Linked DNA regions of Neodiprion lecontei. The protein of the gene in region 3 interacts with the protein of the main gene of each other region in a pairwise test. Links are inferred from orthologs where the notes say so. Each region holds a gene or a part of one and is shown on either strand. Other genes may lie near its edges. The genes, in order: breast cancer anti-estrogen resistance protein 3, leupaxin and breast cancer anti-estrogen resistance protein 1.

What was found.
Region 1: the proteins of breast cancer anti-estrogen resistance protein 1 (region 3) and breast cancer anti-estrogen resistance protein 3 interact in a two-hybrid assay, tested with the Drosophila melanogaster proteins (2 studies listed by BioGRID). The link is inferred for Neodiprion lecontei from reciprocal best matches to the Drosophila melanogaster genes p130CAS and CG9098.
Region 2: the proteins of breast cancer anti-estrogen resistance protein 1 (region 3) and leupaxin interact in a two-hybrid assay, tested with the Drosophila melanogaster proteins (2 studies listed by BioGRID). The link is inferred for Neodiprion lecontei from reciprocal best matches to the Drosophila melanogaster genes p130CAS and Pax.

What each region holds. Positions count from the first base shown.
Region 1 is NC_060264.1:18,766,594-18,772,337, forward strand, and holds the start of breast cancer anti-estrogen resistance protein 3, read left to right. Parts: upstream 1-2,409; 5' UTR 2,410-2,617; coding exon 2,618-2,660; intron 2,661-5,744.
Region 2 is NC_060264.1:9,647,290-9,653,158, forward strand, and holds the start of leupaxin, read right to left. Parts: upstream 3,569-5,869; 5' UTR 3,361-3,568; coding exon 3,249-3,360; intron 1-3,248.
Region 3 is NC_060261.1:18,409,886-18,415,339, reverse strand, and holds the start of breast cancer anti-estrogen resistance protein 1, read right to left. Parts: upstream 3,593-5,454; 5' UTR 2,808-3,592; coding exon 2,751-2,807; intron 1-2,750.

The DNA.
Region 1 (5,744 bases), on a different chromosome or scaffold from region 3:
GAGTCGAAACCTCTCGAGGCTATCGCTCGAAGTTGAAACTAAACGTATAACATTTGGAAAGCCTACAAACATTGCATAAACTAACAATAAAACCTAGGTTTTATAGAAACGAAAGTGTTGATCTTACGCTTAATTGAAAGTCAGAATAATTTACACAAGATAAGACAAACTCATGGTTGTCATCGATGTTGTTTTTGTTGATAACGAAGACTTCCTGAAAAGGCGATTTCACATGCTGCGGTCACTCAATTCAAAGAGTATCTGAAGATTACAACTATATAAGCATGATTGTTCGAAATTGACAAATTCATAGGGAACGCATAAGGCATGCATCTTTACATATTTTCTCAAAACTATGATCGTGTTGTAATTTTTGTTGCTTTATTACTTTTTTACAGAATTTTTACATACTCTGGTACAGTTTTTGTATTGTTTCTATGTTATAGTTTAATTTACGCAGAATGTTGTTCACTGTATAAAAATTAAGTATAACTAAATGAAAATATTGTCAGTGAAAACTATTCAAATCAAATCATAAAGTCGTATGGAAAACACCCGAATTTTTATCATTTTGAGCGTTTTAACTTTCAGATATTGAGGGCTTATTCATCACCAAAGCCATTATTCAGATTTTGGGATTAATAAATATATCTCGTTGTATCGGACGTCTTTTCGCAATTCTCCAGTTCCTCGTCACCTGCATAATCATCATTATCCTAAATAGTATCATTACACGTAACACTCAATAAATTGCTACGTTTCAAAGAAATCGATAACCTGCAGCACGAGTTGCCCACGCCTAAAAAAAGTGTCGTCGATCAATGAGGCGAAGCCAACAACGCCAGCATAATATATATGCAAACCAAATATAACACACACGCAGCGCAACACAAACACAGTGTCTACACTTCGCTAGAATACGATGATAAACGAAAGCCATCGTTGTCTGCTACTATCCAGTTAAATTTTAATGTTTGTCATCAGTGCCTACCAGCTGCAATATGGTCGACCTTCTGTATGCGCTATTGAGCAGATTATACAGTTGAAAATCAATATTCTTTTGGTACTTTTAACGCAAGATAGTATTTTTCAAATCATTAAATTCGCAAGCAAAGGTGTTTCCTATATATGAATGCAAAGAAACAGACCAAAATTACGAACAAAAGCTTTGATGTCGATTTTGGTGATCTTTAACCGCTGTAAAACGGTGAAACATATCATAAATTCACTTAAATTCAATTTACGTGATGGTTGGTTTTATTCAGAAGATGATTCTTCACGTTCCCATCATGACAATTTCTTCTTTGTTTCTTATCAGATTGGTGTCGTTAAATTTTTAATTTTTCCGTGTTGCAGTGATTTCGATAACAAACAGCAATACTGATTGAGTTGACTATTAAGTGAAAAATATATCGCTTCTGTCGAATTTCTAAAAAAACGTTTATATCTAACCAAAATCAACAGTTGTGGAGTGATAGTACAGAACGATTCCACCAAATTTCTCATCATTTCGAAACGGTTTAAAATTTAAAAAAATAACGATTCGAAAGCTCTTATTCCTAATTTTAGTCGTTTTTCGAGTTGTACGAATGTAATAATCTGACATGCAGTCGAAGTGCGACTGTCTTGTTATAAAATTATACCAAACTAGTATCGATCCTCAGTTGTACAACTTCCTTAAGAGGATGCTATAGTCAGTACTTACCGATCGAGTAAAATTTCACTTCTCTTAACTATTATGCGAAAGTGCCGCAATCGGCGCAATTCTACATGCAATGCCGATCGAAACTATCGAAAAACATTTTCACTGCATACGAAAATTATTCGAGGAAATTCGTTTCTGCCACAAGTGGTAATTCAGTTACAGAAATACAATTCATTGGCATTATTGTTGCATAAGACAAAACCTTTTTTTTTTTGTACATACGTACTCGGCATTGCATGTAGAATCGCGCTCACTACGGTATTTTTACACGAGCGATACATCGGGCTTTGATAATTAATAGTAAAAATAAGTGACATTCGACACGGTCGATGAAGAGACACTACAGCATCCTCTTAAACAACCCACTATCATCACCGCATCAGTTTGTCCTCGTCTCTTCTTCTTCTTCTTCTTCTTCTTCAGCAGCAACAACAGCAGCAGCAAGCTGTGTGTACATATGTTCACGTACAATATTAACACACACCCATGTCGGCATGGCGGCATGTTTGCGGGGGCCTGAAGCTATCGCCTGGTCTTCTCTCTCTCTTTCTCTCTCTCTCTCCGCTCACACCACACCCCATAAGTCGGTCCCAATCTGGGGTTATGTTCACAATCTCCTTCTCCTTCTCTCTTTCTCACGCGTTCCCCTACATTCCTATCAACGACGCTTCTCAATCCTTCGTGACGTTCACGTTACATTGGCTCGCACAGTGTCGCGTTATGCTTCGGAGCGGACAGAGCGCAGCGCCGCGCTGAGCCACGCGGTCAGCTTGTGTAATCGCATTGCACCTTCCTATTCAACAAGTGTGTCCGGGTAGAGTGGATCCGCGTCATTTAACCCTGCTGCAACACCGCCCGCCGATTCACGTTTTACCCGCAACTGATCAATCCCGCGCTGACGTCACAGAAAACATGGGGAAAACCGCAAGCAAGCTCAAATCGCGTCGCAGCCAAAGTTAGTCGATCATCGTTTGTTTATTCATTTGTCTAATACGATTTTTGTTTCACGTTCGATTTTCATTTCGTTTTTTTTTTTTTTTTTTTTTTATTATTTTTATCATCACAAACATGTCACGTATTGAATACAACACCCTTGATTATGAATTTTGGAATTTCATTTATTATATAATACTTGCGCTTGCACCACCCGCGGAAATTACAACGTAGATAGAAATCTATATGCAAACATATTATTATACATGCTTAATTATTGTCGTCCGTCGGGTGTAATACACGTAATACAAACTCCCATTTAAAGTATACAATAACGAATGAAAAGGTGAGTTGTGCACCGCGCTACAATACAACTTTTATCTCTACTCGCTGCACTGTCGACGACGTTGGTTATCAGTGTTTCGTTATATTCACGCCTACACATACCTATAACGCGTAACTAACATGTATTGTACTGTTTATAGGGTTTACTTATACGCGTGATCTTACATTATGGTGTTACGCTTTTTTATCATATAGCCAGATGTTGTGCTAGTCGTGCACTTAAATGCAGATGAACATGTACAGCAACGTTGTTTATATATATATGTTGAGCATTGTTTTGAAGCCGTATCGCCGCGCTTCATTACTATTCCGTCATACATGCAGGCCTGCGTAGCGTAATAATTTTTTCACTGACGTTGCACATATTACCTAATATTATACATGTTTGTATAAAAAATTTTGCAACCAATTCGAGCGCAGCAATTAAATCGCTGGCGACAGAGAACAATCATATTTTAGAACAGCAAAATTGACTCGGAGAAAAAATGTACAAACTTGGATACTGAACCCACTGTCTTATGATAGACGCACGTCAGTAATTTTGGCTACCACGTGTCTCCGCGATGTGAGGTATGATACTTTCTACAACCAATAACTGTACAGTTCGAATGCAGATAAATGGCTTAGTTGTCAAACGAGGAAGAGAAAGGCGCATATTTGAACTCGATTTTAGGAAACTGAAATATTAGCACGAAAACAGTTTCAGAACGAAATAAAGAATTGTTGATAAAATGGCAAAATCCAATTATTCAAACTTTGAAACGAATTGACGTCCGAAATTTGTAGACCAAAACCCAAATTAAAATAGTTATTTCTGCGCTACTTCCGTCAGCAACTCGACTACTTTGTAGTTTTTATGAGCACTAGTGCTTATAAAAACTACACAATATTCGCGTTTTTGACGGAAGTTAGCACAGAAAATAGAATTTGTCGTACGAAATAGATCTTTTCGTGGCAAGTGCGCATAAAATTAAGCTATTTTCTTACCTAGGGTGTAAAGTATCATGCCCGTGATGCGAACAATATTTTTCGTCCTACGTAGGCGTAAACGGGATTTACCGGTCCACTTCGCGGGCGTAAAATCCCGCTTTACGCCTACTATGACGCAAAAGATTTCTTGACGAGTATAAAGTCCCGCACGAGCCATAAAAGGTGAATGCCAAACTCACACGAGTTATGAAGTCCCTATATGCACGCTAGGGTGACCATTATTTACGGTGTTGACGAATTTTTTCCATACTGCCCCCAAATCAAGTTTAAATAATTCAATAAAGATCCCCAAATTTTTGCAGATTCTTAACTCAACTCTAACCCGCCACCCAAACAGGTGGAATTCCCTATTTAAGATACACGTGTTTCGGACACATTCTTAGCATACATTTTATTGTAAGCGTAATAATGATGAAAAAAATCTGTAACTACGAAGTTTTAGTGGGCAGTAGTGCTACTATCTGAGAAAAAATTCACATCGTTATACCAGGTAAACTAGACAAATTGCAATTCCTCTAAATGGAAAAAAGTCAGATTTCAAGGGCGTGTAATTTGTCGAAATTGCATGGTATGATGATTTGAATTTTTTCTCAGATAGTAGCACTAATGTCCACTAAAACCTCGTGGTTACAAATTTTTTTTTACCATTTTTATTTTTACAATAAAATATATGCTAAGAATGTATCCGAAACACGTGTATTTTAAATGGGGAAATGCACCCTCTTTGGAGGGGGGGGGGGGGGGGGGGGGGGGGTTAGAATTGAGTTAAAAATGTGAAAAAATTTGAGAATCTGTTTTGAATTATTTAAAGTTGATTTGAGGGGTGGTACGGAAAAAATTCGTCAACACTCTAAAGAACGGTCACCCTAATGCGCACGTGCCACAAATCCTATTTACTATGCTATCTCTTGTTGAAAACGAAAATATTGTGTAGTTTTTATAAGTACTAGTGTTAAAAAATCTACTTCTGAGCACTAGTGTTCATAAAAACTGCGAAGTAGTCTAGTTGTTGACGTAGGTAGCGCAGATGATAAATTTCAGTACAGATTTTCAAATCAGTCATAACATAACTTCAGGTTCTGCACGCGATGAAAAACTGAAACGACTTCGTAAATTTGAAAAAGAAGTTTATTACTTATCCAGGGATCTAAATCTAAATCTTGGAAAATGATTGAATAATAATCAAATAATTAATAATAGAAATAAATAATATCAACGATGTACGTATATTTATTTCAGTAAACGTAATACCTTTTTCAAAATTGTCAATTCTAGGTATGCAATCAAATGTGAACCTTATATAATCGAATCTATTTGAGTTGGATCCAGAATCAAATAACTGGTGTGGCAAACGGATGGAAATGAATTGCAGAATTGTGTCTAAAACGTTATATTTATATTATCTGTTGCTGTTGCCTCTAATCAATTTCTGAAGCAAAATTACGAGATTTAATATATCGTAGAAACAGATTTTTTGGTCGTTTCCTGTTTTTCTTCCTTTTTTCTCCTAACAGATAAAACTCGAAAACGTAGTATACTTAAGATTTTAAACTAAATTTCAAATGTTCCTCAAAATTCAGAATCATAATTCTCGTATTGATAGAAATTCTATTATTCCATTGGCAAGTCGCAATGCAATATAAAAAAATGTTAAAAACGCTTTTTTGTTTGTTGTTTTTTTTGTTTTGTTTCAAATTTGACTTACGCTAAAAACTTGAACTTCGAATAATCTACCACATTCAAATTTGCAATCTGGATTCAAGATTAAATG
Region 2 (5,869 bases), on a different chromosome or scaffold from region 3:
GATTGCCTCTGCTGATGTTTTTACGTAAAAAGAAAGGAATTTACAAATTTTTATGAGGTTGCATTTCAAAACTTCAACACAATTAGATACAAAGATGAAATTCACCTACTCCAAGTGTGAATGTGTGAGTAACTCGTAGAGTGGAGAAAGTAATATCTATAATACTCAAATAACAAATTTGAATGCTTAGTTTTATTTGCCATGCTGCAAATCTTCATGAATTACAGCGTCCATATTTGTTGCTGTACATTCATCTGTCCATCAACTTTATATTAAAATCAATTTCATTTCGCGTCAAGAAAAAGAAGAAAGGAATCTTAATTTTTTCAGTAGGTTATATAATTAGTTTTGTCATATGTTTAATTTTCTGGCATAAAATTGATTTTGATTTTTTATGTTTAGATCAATCTGAAAAAATAGTCGCTGAAAGAACGATGAATGCCGTTATACATTCAACCGTCTTTCTTGTTGTAGTTTGGAAATGATCAACATAATTGTGCTTGTTCGGCATATGTCAGCGAATAATTCCTGGTTATGCATATTCAAAGAATGTCAGCAGATTGCGTTATAGAAAGCAATGCGTCAAGCTGCAAGCCGCTTGAGAAATTGGCATATTAAGGATACTTTTATTGTAAGAATATATTAATCAGCTATTGCAAGATCTTTCAAATAAAATAATATGAAAAAGTTCGCATTTTCTCATTATTTTTCGTAAAATTAAGACTAAAATCCCAGTTTGTTACAATTAGAGGTGAAAATATTTCTATCTCTAATTCAGAATCTATCTAATTGTAATTTTGTTTTCTGTGAAGTAATTAATCAAGTTTAACTTGTACCGAAACCGTCGAAAGAATTGAATGATTTTTTCATTGAGTAAATAAAATGCTCAATTACTTACTGCGTAAAACGTACCTTTAACAATTACTTAGGTAATCAGAGCATTTATACTTGTATCATCATATCTGAAAATTGGTATTATTCATATATAGAATAAATTGAAGATACGCTTTTTTTAATTCTTGCAGGTTCATTTTTTTGAATCGCTACATTTGCATTGAGGTTTTATTAGCTTTCTCATAATTATCTCAAGAAAATTTACGTGCAAGCAATGTAGTAAATAACAATTGTTATGAAGTTAAGAATATGTAAATCACAAAAATATGTAATAACACATTGAACGTCGATGTAGTAAAACTTCATTTATACGTTTCTCAAGAGGTATATCATATTTTATAAAATATTAGCATGTTTGTACATGTACAAAAATATACGAAATGTACAGATACATGTACGAAATACGTATCAAATTTGTGGTATTTTGTAAAAAAAATGTTGTAATAAAGAAACGATATCATTTAAATGATTAATCAAAAACTTCATAACTCCGAAGCTAGATGTATCGGAATATTCGATTTAGTCTTGACAATTTTGTTTTACATGTATAATCTTGTGTGAAAATTTAATCAGAATTGATTACGGAACTTTTGAGAAAACGTTGATTTTCGATCTTTGGGCGGTAGACATAGAAAATATTAAAAAGCATACCTCGAACGAAAAACTGACCTGTGATTAAGAGAAAAATGGGCTAAAGGAGTGTAGCGACAAATGTCACCGTCTAAGTGCAAACCTAACGAAGGACGTAGTACGTAATATTCATTTCTGGGTTTCCCAGTGGTTGATTATTTTTTGGAATCAAAACCGGAACGGGTTTCCTTTCTAAGTAAATTTTATATGCAAATGACTAACGACGTAAGTAACAGGAAAAACAAACGATACATTGATCAATAGGCACATAAAATTTTTATAAAAAGAAACATGTTTCGGTTTGATTACAAAAAAAGAAATAGTCAACCACTTGGAAACCATTAATGAACATTACTCAAGCGAAATGCTTCTAGATAATTTGTAGCCAAAAACTGTCAAGATCAAAAACATTTGACGTTGGCATACAAGAGTGAAAAACATATAAATAAAATCTTAAATCATCATACTTGAAAGTGAAGTTTTGCCAGTGAATGGAGTAAATTCATTTCGAGCAACAATAAAGCGTTTCAAAAATACTTCTTCCATAATCTTGCGATGTGGAACGATGCAGTCGAGATATGCACAACATTCTATTCTGTTACGCATTTTGTGGCACGCGCGTGGATCGTACATATCGTGTCCGTGGATTCATACGTATAAGTATATATTCTCTCTTGAATTCCTGACTCTTAATGCAACAAAACTACTACAGAGATCCCGTGCACTGTAATCCGTTATACTCGCGAAGAACATCCTGCCTGTAAGTCTATGATTTATACTCATCCTCTGCACCGCGGTATAATGTAAATGCGCTGCAAATGATGATATACTCTGCAGGTACCAACGCTTAAGAGATTTAATTTATTTCGTGGATTAAGAAATAGTATTTATCGCAGATTAAACACGCGTGCAGTTTCCATCCTTGGTAAAGTTTGTCTATTCGGTTTATTCGCACTCTAAGTCGGAAAAAGTGACGTCACATCACGGACTAATCCACATTCAAGAACCTTGAATTTGCTACTTATTCGAGCATGTATCGATGGTTCAAGTTACCCAATAACCCTTGCGACAAACTGTACCTTTAACCTCAACACCAGAGCGTCGATGACGTCAGCCGCAGCGTCAACCGAGTCGCGACTGCCGTGATTTCTGATCGAAACGTAAGGAATCTGATATAATATTGAAGTTAGTCACGTTGTTGTAACGATTGTATGCGATAAGCAAGTCGTTATTTCGAAATTTCGAATTCCGCTTTCCCTCTGAAATTCAATAAACCGTACTAGCATATGAAAACATACTAATCTACTTATTTTGAAAACTTGCCTCCCTTCAAATCATTCCAATAGAGTTTTCAATTGACTGCACTGAATGCATCGAGTGTGAATTTCCCCGGATTTCACTTTTACTATTTGTCGAAAACTGAAGAACTGACATGTAGTACACACTGATTGTGAGTGCAGCCCGTTAAAAACCCTATAAGATCGTAAACTAGTGAATTTTTTCTCAAACCTACGTTACCAAATAGCGTTTTTCACTAGCTGTATTCGGTGTGCATTGAGTGCAATATTCCCAGCTTCGAAGGAAAAACAGAAGCGAAATCCTAGGAAAATCGCACTCAGTGGGCACTGCATTTAGCTAGTGAAAAATTCTACTACTTCAACCTTGAAAATCACAAATACGAGGGACGAATGGTCGGGGGATCTTGAGACGAATTGGATTCTCACCGAGGCTTACGAGGTTGCTCGAGGCCCCGTTGCGGGCCCTCTGAGGATCGTAGACCTCGTAAAGGTCGTTACTGTCGGTCGACCTCCTGGCGTAGGCGCACTGACTGTCCATTTTTACGAGGTGAAGAAAACGGTACGCACCAACTTATTTCGCGAGTAAATATCACCGGCAAACCACCTTTGCGTTCGAATGGAGAAAAGGGGGGAGGCTGGATTAGGGTCTAGTAACTGGGTCTTTTCGACTGTGCAATTTATATACTCCAAACGTGCGCGGTAATATATTTGTACAATATTCTGGCGCCGTTCGTAGACAGCGGAGTTGAGTGGGACCGACCGACCAACTGACTGACTGACTGTGAATTGCTTGCTCTGACGAGAAGGTCGCCGGTCGGCCATTCGCCGATTGCGTTGGGACTCTATGGGCTTCCGCGAAGCGTTCCCTCGAGGAGGTGGAGGAAAGGCTGTCGCCTTCTCCGTCGCCCGACGCGGTTCACAGGGGGAGGGGGGTGAGCGGGCGGGGGGGGGGGGAGGTGGAAACGTGTAAGCGGCGGAGGACTCGTCGCGGCATCGCATCGTCTGGAAAAATGAAGGGGGGGGGGGGGGGGGGGACTCCAGCGTGACGAAATTTTTCTGTAATCTCCGGTGCACGACGAACGCGCGCCTCCAGAGCTTCGTTATCTCGGGTCTTTCGCCCCACTTCACGCGGAATCGCGTTGTCAGTTCCAAAAACTGTTTTATACCTAGTATATTGTACGTATGTATGGGGTAGAGTTGGAACGAAGAAAGGCGGGGATTCATGTTTTGTTGAGGATATTGTGAAGATCGAGGAGACGCTTTTGAAATTCAGGATCAGAATTACCCTGTCGGTCAGTTATTTTTATAAACGATCGATGAAAAATGGAGGTCTTGGTAATAAAAGGTATAAAAGAACTAAGGTGATGAAAATTTCAGAATTCTCTTAAGTGAGTGTAAACAAAATGGCGGGGGTGAATGCTATCTACATTTTTTTCATACTTTTTCACGGTTTTGATTCTCAGTTTTAATCAATTCCGACGCCCAGATAGATGGAATAACTATAAAATAAACTTGTAAAATGCGAAAAATATCGAAGTCGCATTTTCAAAATTTATTGCTCTCATCGATTATGTCGCTCTGGTTCTCTCTCTTATTTGAACGGAAATTCATGAACTACCAAGTCTGTAAATTTTATTACTGATAATGCACGCGAAAAATAATATACCTAATAATTTTATTTCATCCGCAAGTATCCGCGATTCATCATTGTATACGACTTCATTGTGACTATTTGCTGTACATTTGATACGTTCTGCAGAAAAGATTGATGCGTAGCTGTCAAGAGTACGACGTTCCAACGTAGCTTATTGCATACTTTCGGAACGTGAATGAGCTTTAAGCTTTGGCTAAAAGCCCAGAGGTTAATTTTGTTTAATTTTTTTTGTAACGTTTAGTTTGGTTTTTGCGCGCGTTCAAATCTATTTTATGACTCGTGAATCATTGCGTGAATGGTTTCTAAACCAACGCAGCAGCAATATTGATTACATAGATTGATAAACCGAACGAGATAATAAATTTTCAACCTCTCTGCATACAAATATAATGCATTATATAATATTACATGTCACTTTAAATAGAGTTCACGTACATCTCAGATTTCCTACCAATTAACCAATTGTCACTTGACGACGTGAAATCCCATAACGTATAATCAACGTATAACGTTAATTGTGCTATTTTTACTTACTAATATAACGCTCCCAGCGTTTATGCCGCTCCAGAGTGGCCGAACGGGCAGGCGTAATTGGGGACATCGGTCTCACAGAGGTACTCGTCATTTTCACAATCAGTCAATTTATTACAAAAAAATACACTTCACCGTATACCACTTACAGCTCTGTGTCTATAAAAAAGAGATTTCCGGACGTTGAAAAATCTAACCCAGTGATTCTTATAAGGTAATTATTACCCAAAGTTATTCAGTCCATTTATCCAAGCCCGATGCTTGATGGCGACTCAATAACAATTTCGACCACATAAGATTTACTGATAACTGAACTATGTAACAAGATTTAATTTCGATTCCAGAATGGAGGCACAATTCAAGCCTGAATAGAAAATCAAAATAAAAAAAATGAATGTTCTAATCACTTAAGAGAATTGTGGGTACCATCATTTCGAGAGTCAACGACTATCCAAGATGTATATTTTTTGAACCCTTAAAATCCCTAATTGAGAAACTTGTAAGACCTCTGTTGTCTGTTGTCCGCAAAATCGATACTGTATATGTCGCGTGATAATCAGAATATCAGATCTAAGCGTGACGTTTCAAAAACTTTTTATTTTCATACACTCCTGCGAACTTAGGCGCGGGCTCAAATCGATCAACTCAAAGGTGACAAATTGGTCACTCGAGTTGCGAGATAAATTCCACGCAGGGTCAAAGATAACCAAGTAAATTTCTTCTTTCTCTAAAACGTGTTGAAGATACACTTTCAGAACGATTTTTATTCAGTATTTACGCACATTGAATGTTTCGTTTTTTAATGTATCGTTAAAAACAATTTTATACAGCGTTGAAAAAACTGATTTTTGTAAACAACAAA
Region 3 (5,454 bases):
TTTTTTTTCAGTATCAAGAAAATATGCTTTTAATTATTCTTAATATTTTCTTTTAATCAAATTCAATTTTGATCGAGTACATTTTTGAATTTCTACATTATTTGATACATCATCAAAAACCGTATGTCATGCTTGTACAAGTCTGTGGACTTATATTTACGTTTCATCTTAATCGTATTCACCCAGTCCTCAAATGCGATAATGCGACTGTGACCGACGATCATCGATATTAAAATTAGCCCAATTACGTTCCCAGTGCAAGCAGTCAGGAACTGAGGAAAAAAATGAAAGTTAAAATAAACACATCATGGCAGCTTAATAAAACGATTAACACTAATCAGCGTCAAACGACATAGTTAGGTAGTAATTAAGATATTCTCCCGCGTTAATTTATCTGTTTATATAATGTTGCACAGAGTGTTTCATATGTCACGTGACTGCATACATATGTAAATCGTTGATTAACCAACTTTCATTTTACGGATTTGTCTGTAACTTTTTTTTTTCATACTTTGTCTTAACATACATTAAAATATAATTATTCTGCAGCCCGAAGACGACCGGCCTGGGTCCCGATCGAAAATTTATTTTTGTCAATAAATCACTGACCAAAAGAAGATTAAACCTCTTTCCATAAATAAAACGCAGTAGCAATGTTTGATATGAACCCGCGGCATTGAAATTTCTTGCAGATAAAGCCAGGCACATTGGATTACACATATTCGAAAATTGAACAATAAACATGATGGGTGAACCACCTCGATACATCTTTCGATTCTATGAGACAGAAACGTTGAAGTCTGATAAAAGTCATCCCACGATTGAATACGACGCATTTACGCGGTGATGATAATAGTTATTAGATTTGAGCGCCAATTGAAACGCCTTCTCTTTACCCTTGACACAGGCGAAATTCGAGTCCCTGTACAATACACACACACGCGTCTTTTTTCTTTTTTGAATGATGTTTTTTGTAATACTGCTAGAGCAGATATACGGCGTGGCGTAGTTAAATATTATCAAATTGGCGAGATTTGTCGACGTGAACGACTGACACGGGCAAACTACCGCGTTATACAAATTGCCTAAATACACACAACCCACGTGCAACCGAACTCAACACGCAATTCACCATCTGCTAGATGCCCGAATACAATCATTCCACTTCCAACCATCGATTTGCAGAACGAACCTACCCAGATACCGTTCACAGGTACGTGTATCTATATGTATAGGCAGTTCGACACACGTAAAACATACCTAACCTAACCTAACCTATAATCCGAAAATATATAGTTTATTCGTTCTACCTGAGGATAACCGTGTGACGGGTTCGATGCTATGTGTGCGTGTGGGTGTGTGCGTGTGTGTATGTTGTACGATTTTCCGCGTAAAATCTCAGAAGCTGTTCTATCTTCAACAGTGAATATCACAGTATACACAATAGTTGGTAATCGCGGATGAGGCGTAAATTTATCATGCAAGTGGAGGAAAAAATTTGTACTCGTTACAAGTTCTTTATGATCGGATATTTTATAATGAAAATAAACCGAATGAAACAGGTGAGAAACAGGGGGAGCTTATAGATTTACGCAGATAGTCATATTAACGTATAAAAACAGCAAATTTCTTACTCAAGAGTATACTGTAGTCAGTCTTTACCGACTGAATAAAATGTCACTTATTTGATGGCAGCATTGATCCGATAATGCCCGCAGTCGGCACAACCCTACATGCAATGCCTGTCAAAAGTATATCCAAATACTTTTTTTTTTTATTTCAAGTGAAAATAACCTATGATCAGTAAAGACTGACTATAGAATACTCTCAGAGGTTGTCCTCGTCGATTTCGACGTTGCATATCTCCAAATATCGAAGTCCGTGTATCTTTAACGCGAAAATAGGCTCAACAGCCCCATTCTATACGCAATTATGAACGAAAACATTCCAATTCATTTTCATTTGACGCGGAGATATACATGTGAACGTCGAAGTCGACCAGGGCACCCGCCGCAACGAGTTTTTACAAGAATCCATCTCATTCTTTCGTAAAACTCTGAATCGATACCGAATTTCTCGTTAAATGATGATGCTGTTGTTGAAAAGTGCGCTCTGGTGAGCCAGGATTAAAAATAGATAATAATAGATTTTTCATATAATCATTTTGCTGCGAAACAGGCTTGGAGGTTGCACTTTGCAAATTATTCGACTAATGATTCATATGAAAAATTATCGAGCCTAGCTGACCAGACCGCACTTCCTACCATCAAAAATTATGCGACCAAGGATTTCAAATCGAATCGATGGCTTACGAAAAAATGAAATAGACTTTTATAAAAACTTTCAGTCGATCACGACGAATTACGCAATTACGCTGAAACACCTCAAGAGCAGTGTTTGCCCGATATAAATATCGTGGGTGTACGAGTAGGTATATCAGAAATTCGACGCCGAGGTCAAGTAGGTGAATGATGAAAGAGGTCTGATAAGATAAGCTAGCGAAACAACAATGTGTTCTTTCATCGCGTATCATCTGCGTCGCCACGGATATACCTGCGTGCCACATACGTGGCGAGGCGCACTACGCGTGACGTGTGCGCCTTGAACGCGGTGCGGTATTTTTGAATTTTTAAATGCCCGTTCGAACCAAAAGCGCGCCACGCGAGAGTCATTCGGTATTAACGACCGTCGCGATAGGAAGGATAGCGACTGGGTAGAAGATGATCATAGGCATGTGTGGCGAACAGTACCTGATTCAAAGACGTGGGAATGATGTCAGGAGTCTGCGGTAACATTTTCACGTTCATTTACCGTCGTCGTTTGGTCGATGCTCGCCTATATCGGCACACAAGCTGTTGCGCCTAAGGCGGTCTGCGATAAATAGCAACCGAATGGATGTTCACACTCGGGCAATCGGCGAATTATAATATTATCCACGCACTTTTGATATTCGAACTTAAATGTAACGGAACTCCAATTTTACGCACTATTTCTTAAAATTCTATACCGTTTTCCTCACTGAACTGTCAAAACACAAACACATGTGTACACGAGTAAAAACTGACGAACAATTTGCACCGTTTTCCACCTTGTTTAGAAAACAACCGATTTCACGCTCAAGCGGAGCGGGCAGCGTGTTGAATTGCACTGATTCGATGCTTTGTGATCTGTTTGTGTGTCCGTTAATACCCGGAATTTCACGAAATTAAAGTAACGGAGAGCGGAAGAGACGGAGACATCTTCACCGCCGGAGGTCGTGCGCGAGACTGGCGGCTCTGGAGAATCGAATCGAATCGAATCGGGGCGGTGGAACCGTTGGCCCGAGGCTTGCCGAGAACGCACGATTGCCTACGACGAACCTTCTCTGCACCCTTGTCGATGCAAGGTGTCTGTGACGAGCGTAATACAATCATATATGTATGAATGCCGGGACAATCTCTTGAAACTTGAAAATCAACCGCGCATGTGCCAAATAATTTGATCTCATTGGTCGGCAAAATCTTCGCGCAGCGATATTCATGTCTGCGACGCAGGCGGGCCAACCTACGCAAAATGTGTACGTTTGAATTTTCAAAGAGCTCAAGCATTAAATTCCGACCGTTCTTTGAAGAATCAACTTTCCGACCCAATAACAAATGCTTCCCAATCCTTTCCGAGCCACTGCCTCACTTATTTGAGATTCTAACCTCGTTAACTCGTATCAACTACATCGCTGCCTGAAACAGTTTGACAGCTGAAACTCGGGATCGCCAGCCTGCGCGAACAGCCGATAAAACTCGCGCACGCGCAGTTGATTTTCAAGTTTCAAGAGATTGTCCCGGTATGTATTAAGAATGACCAGATGTAATCGATTTTAGATTAAATCCATTATTTTTTTTTTCAATCTCGATTAATCGACCGACTCGATTATTTTTCCTCACAATCGGTTTCGGTCCTTTTTTTTCGTACTCTCATTAACGACGTAATACACTATCAATTTATGTGATTGGAGTATTAATTATTGTCATTTGCTTGCTCACTGAGTACCTTTTTGATATAATAAGTGAAAGATGAATTAATATTTTCACCTGAAATTGAAAAATATTTTAAATGCATTTATAAATTATCAAAAAACTTTTCCGCTATTAAGACTATATGCTGAAATTTACAAAATTTTGGTTTGATATTCAATGTTTCAAAAAAATACAACATAATCGATTAACCGATTCATTTTCACAGAATCAATTGACTCGTGTCCGATTATTTTTTTTTTTTTTTTTTTTCGCAACACTTTTTATCACCATAAAAAGTAGAAAAATCGACAGAAATTTTTCTAAGAACCTGTTTTTCGGATTCTAGAGGTTCGAAAATGTAAAAGTTCGTTAAAATTATAAAAAGTTATTTTCGACCGCCACCAATACTTCTCTTATATCACAAAAGGTAATGAAAAGTAGTTTTGAAAATAGTGATTACGTAGTTTATACGTGTAAAGTTTAGAATGCCAATGTATTGCGGAACGTTAATTAATTTCAATTTTTAAGAGTCTTCGACTGACAATATTGTGAAATGGATCTATTTCAGCGATTAATGAATTTGAAGAAAGCTGTCAATATTGAACAAAGTAAGTAAATGAAAGATGAAATTGAACGGGCATTATGTATGAATAAATCAGTATAAGAATCAATTCAATTAAATTGAAATAAGTCCATTTTGGCCGATCTTCGAATCGATTTTTTACTTGAAATGAGTAGAAAAAAAAATATTCGGACATCACAAACATTGACATTAATTATTCTCACGCATTTCATTAAAACTAGCATCTTTTATACATAAATGATACTGTGCCAACCAATACTTATATTTAACATGATTTATTTTAAGATAAGCAAAGTAAACGTGGGACAGTAAGATTAATTCAGTTTCCCAGACATACGAAATAATTACAAGGAAATCAAAGTAAACAGCATGTAGCGTTGTATTACAATAGTTGTATTACACAAAATGAGATTTGGCCGCCCAGAGTAATTTTATGTTTTTTTTTTTTCATTGCTATTGTGATTCAAATTGAATGCCTATAATACCCTCTCACTCCTTCATTCCATCCAAAATTACGCTGTCTAAGAATCAATTGATACTTCTGGTAAGATAAAAATCATGAATAACGAGGGAGGTCGAGTGACGACTCGTCTAAAACATCTTTTTGAACAAAGTACACTATAACTAAATTTTTCCAGTTTTGTTGGTGCAGCTAATCCAAAATGTATGACACAGAGATACTTGAATTTTTTGCGCACTAATCTATATTTAAATCTTCAAGCGCATCCAACGGTAGCTCGGTAGCTAAATAAAGAACACACCTTTTGGATGTTAAGGGATCATCCTAGTGTAAAATTTTTTTTTTTTTGGAACGAAGTTCCTTATCGCTCGTTCACCGTAGGGGCTAGGCGGAAAAAAACGACACCAAAAAACCGACAC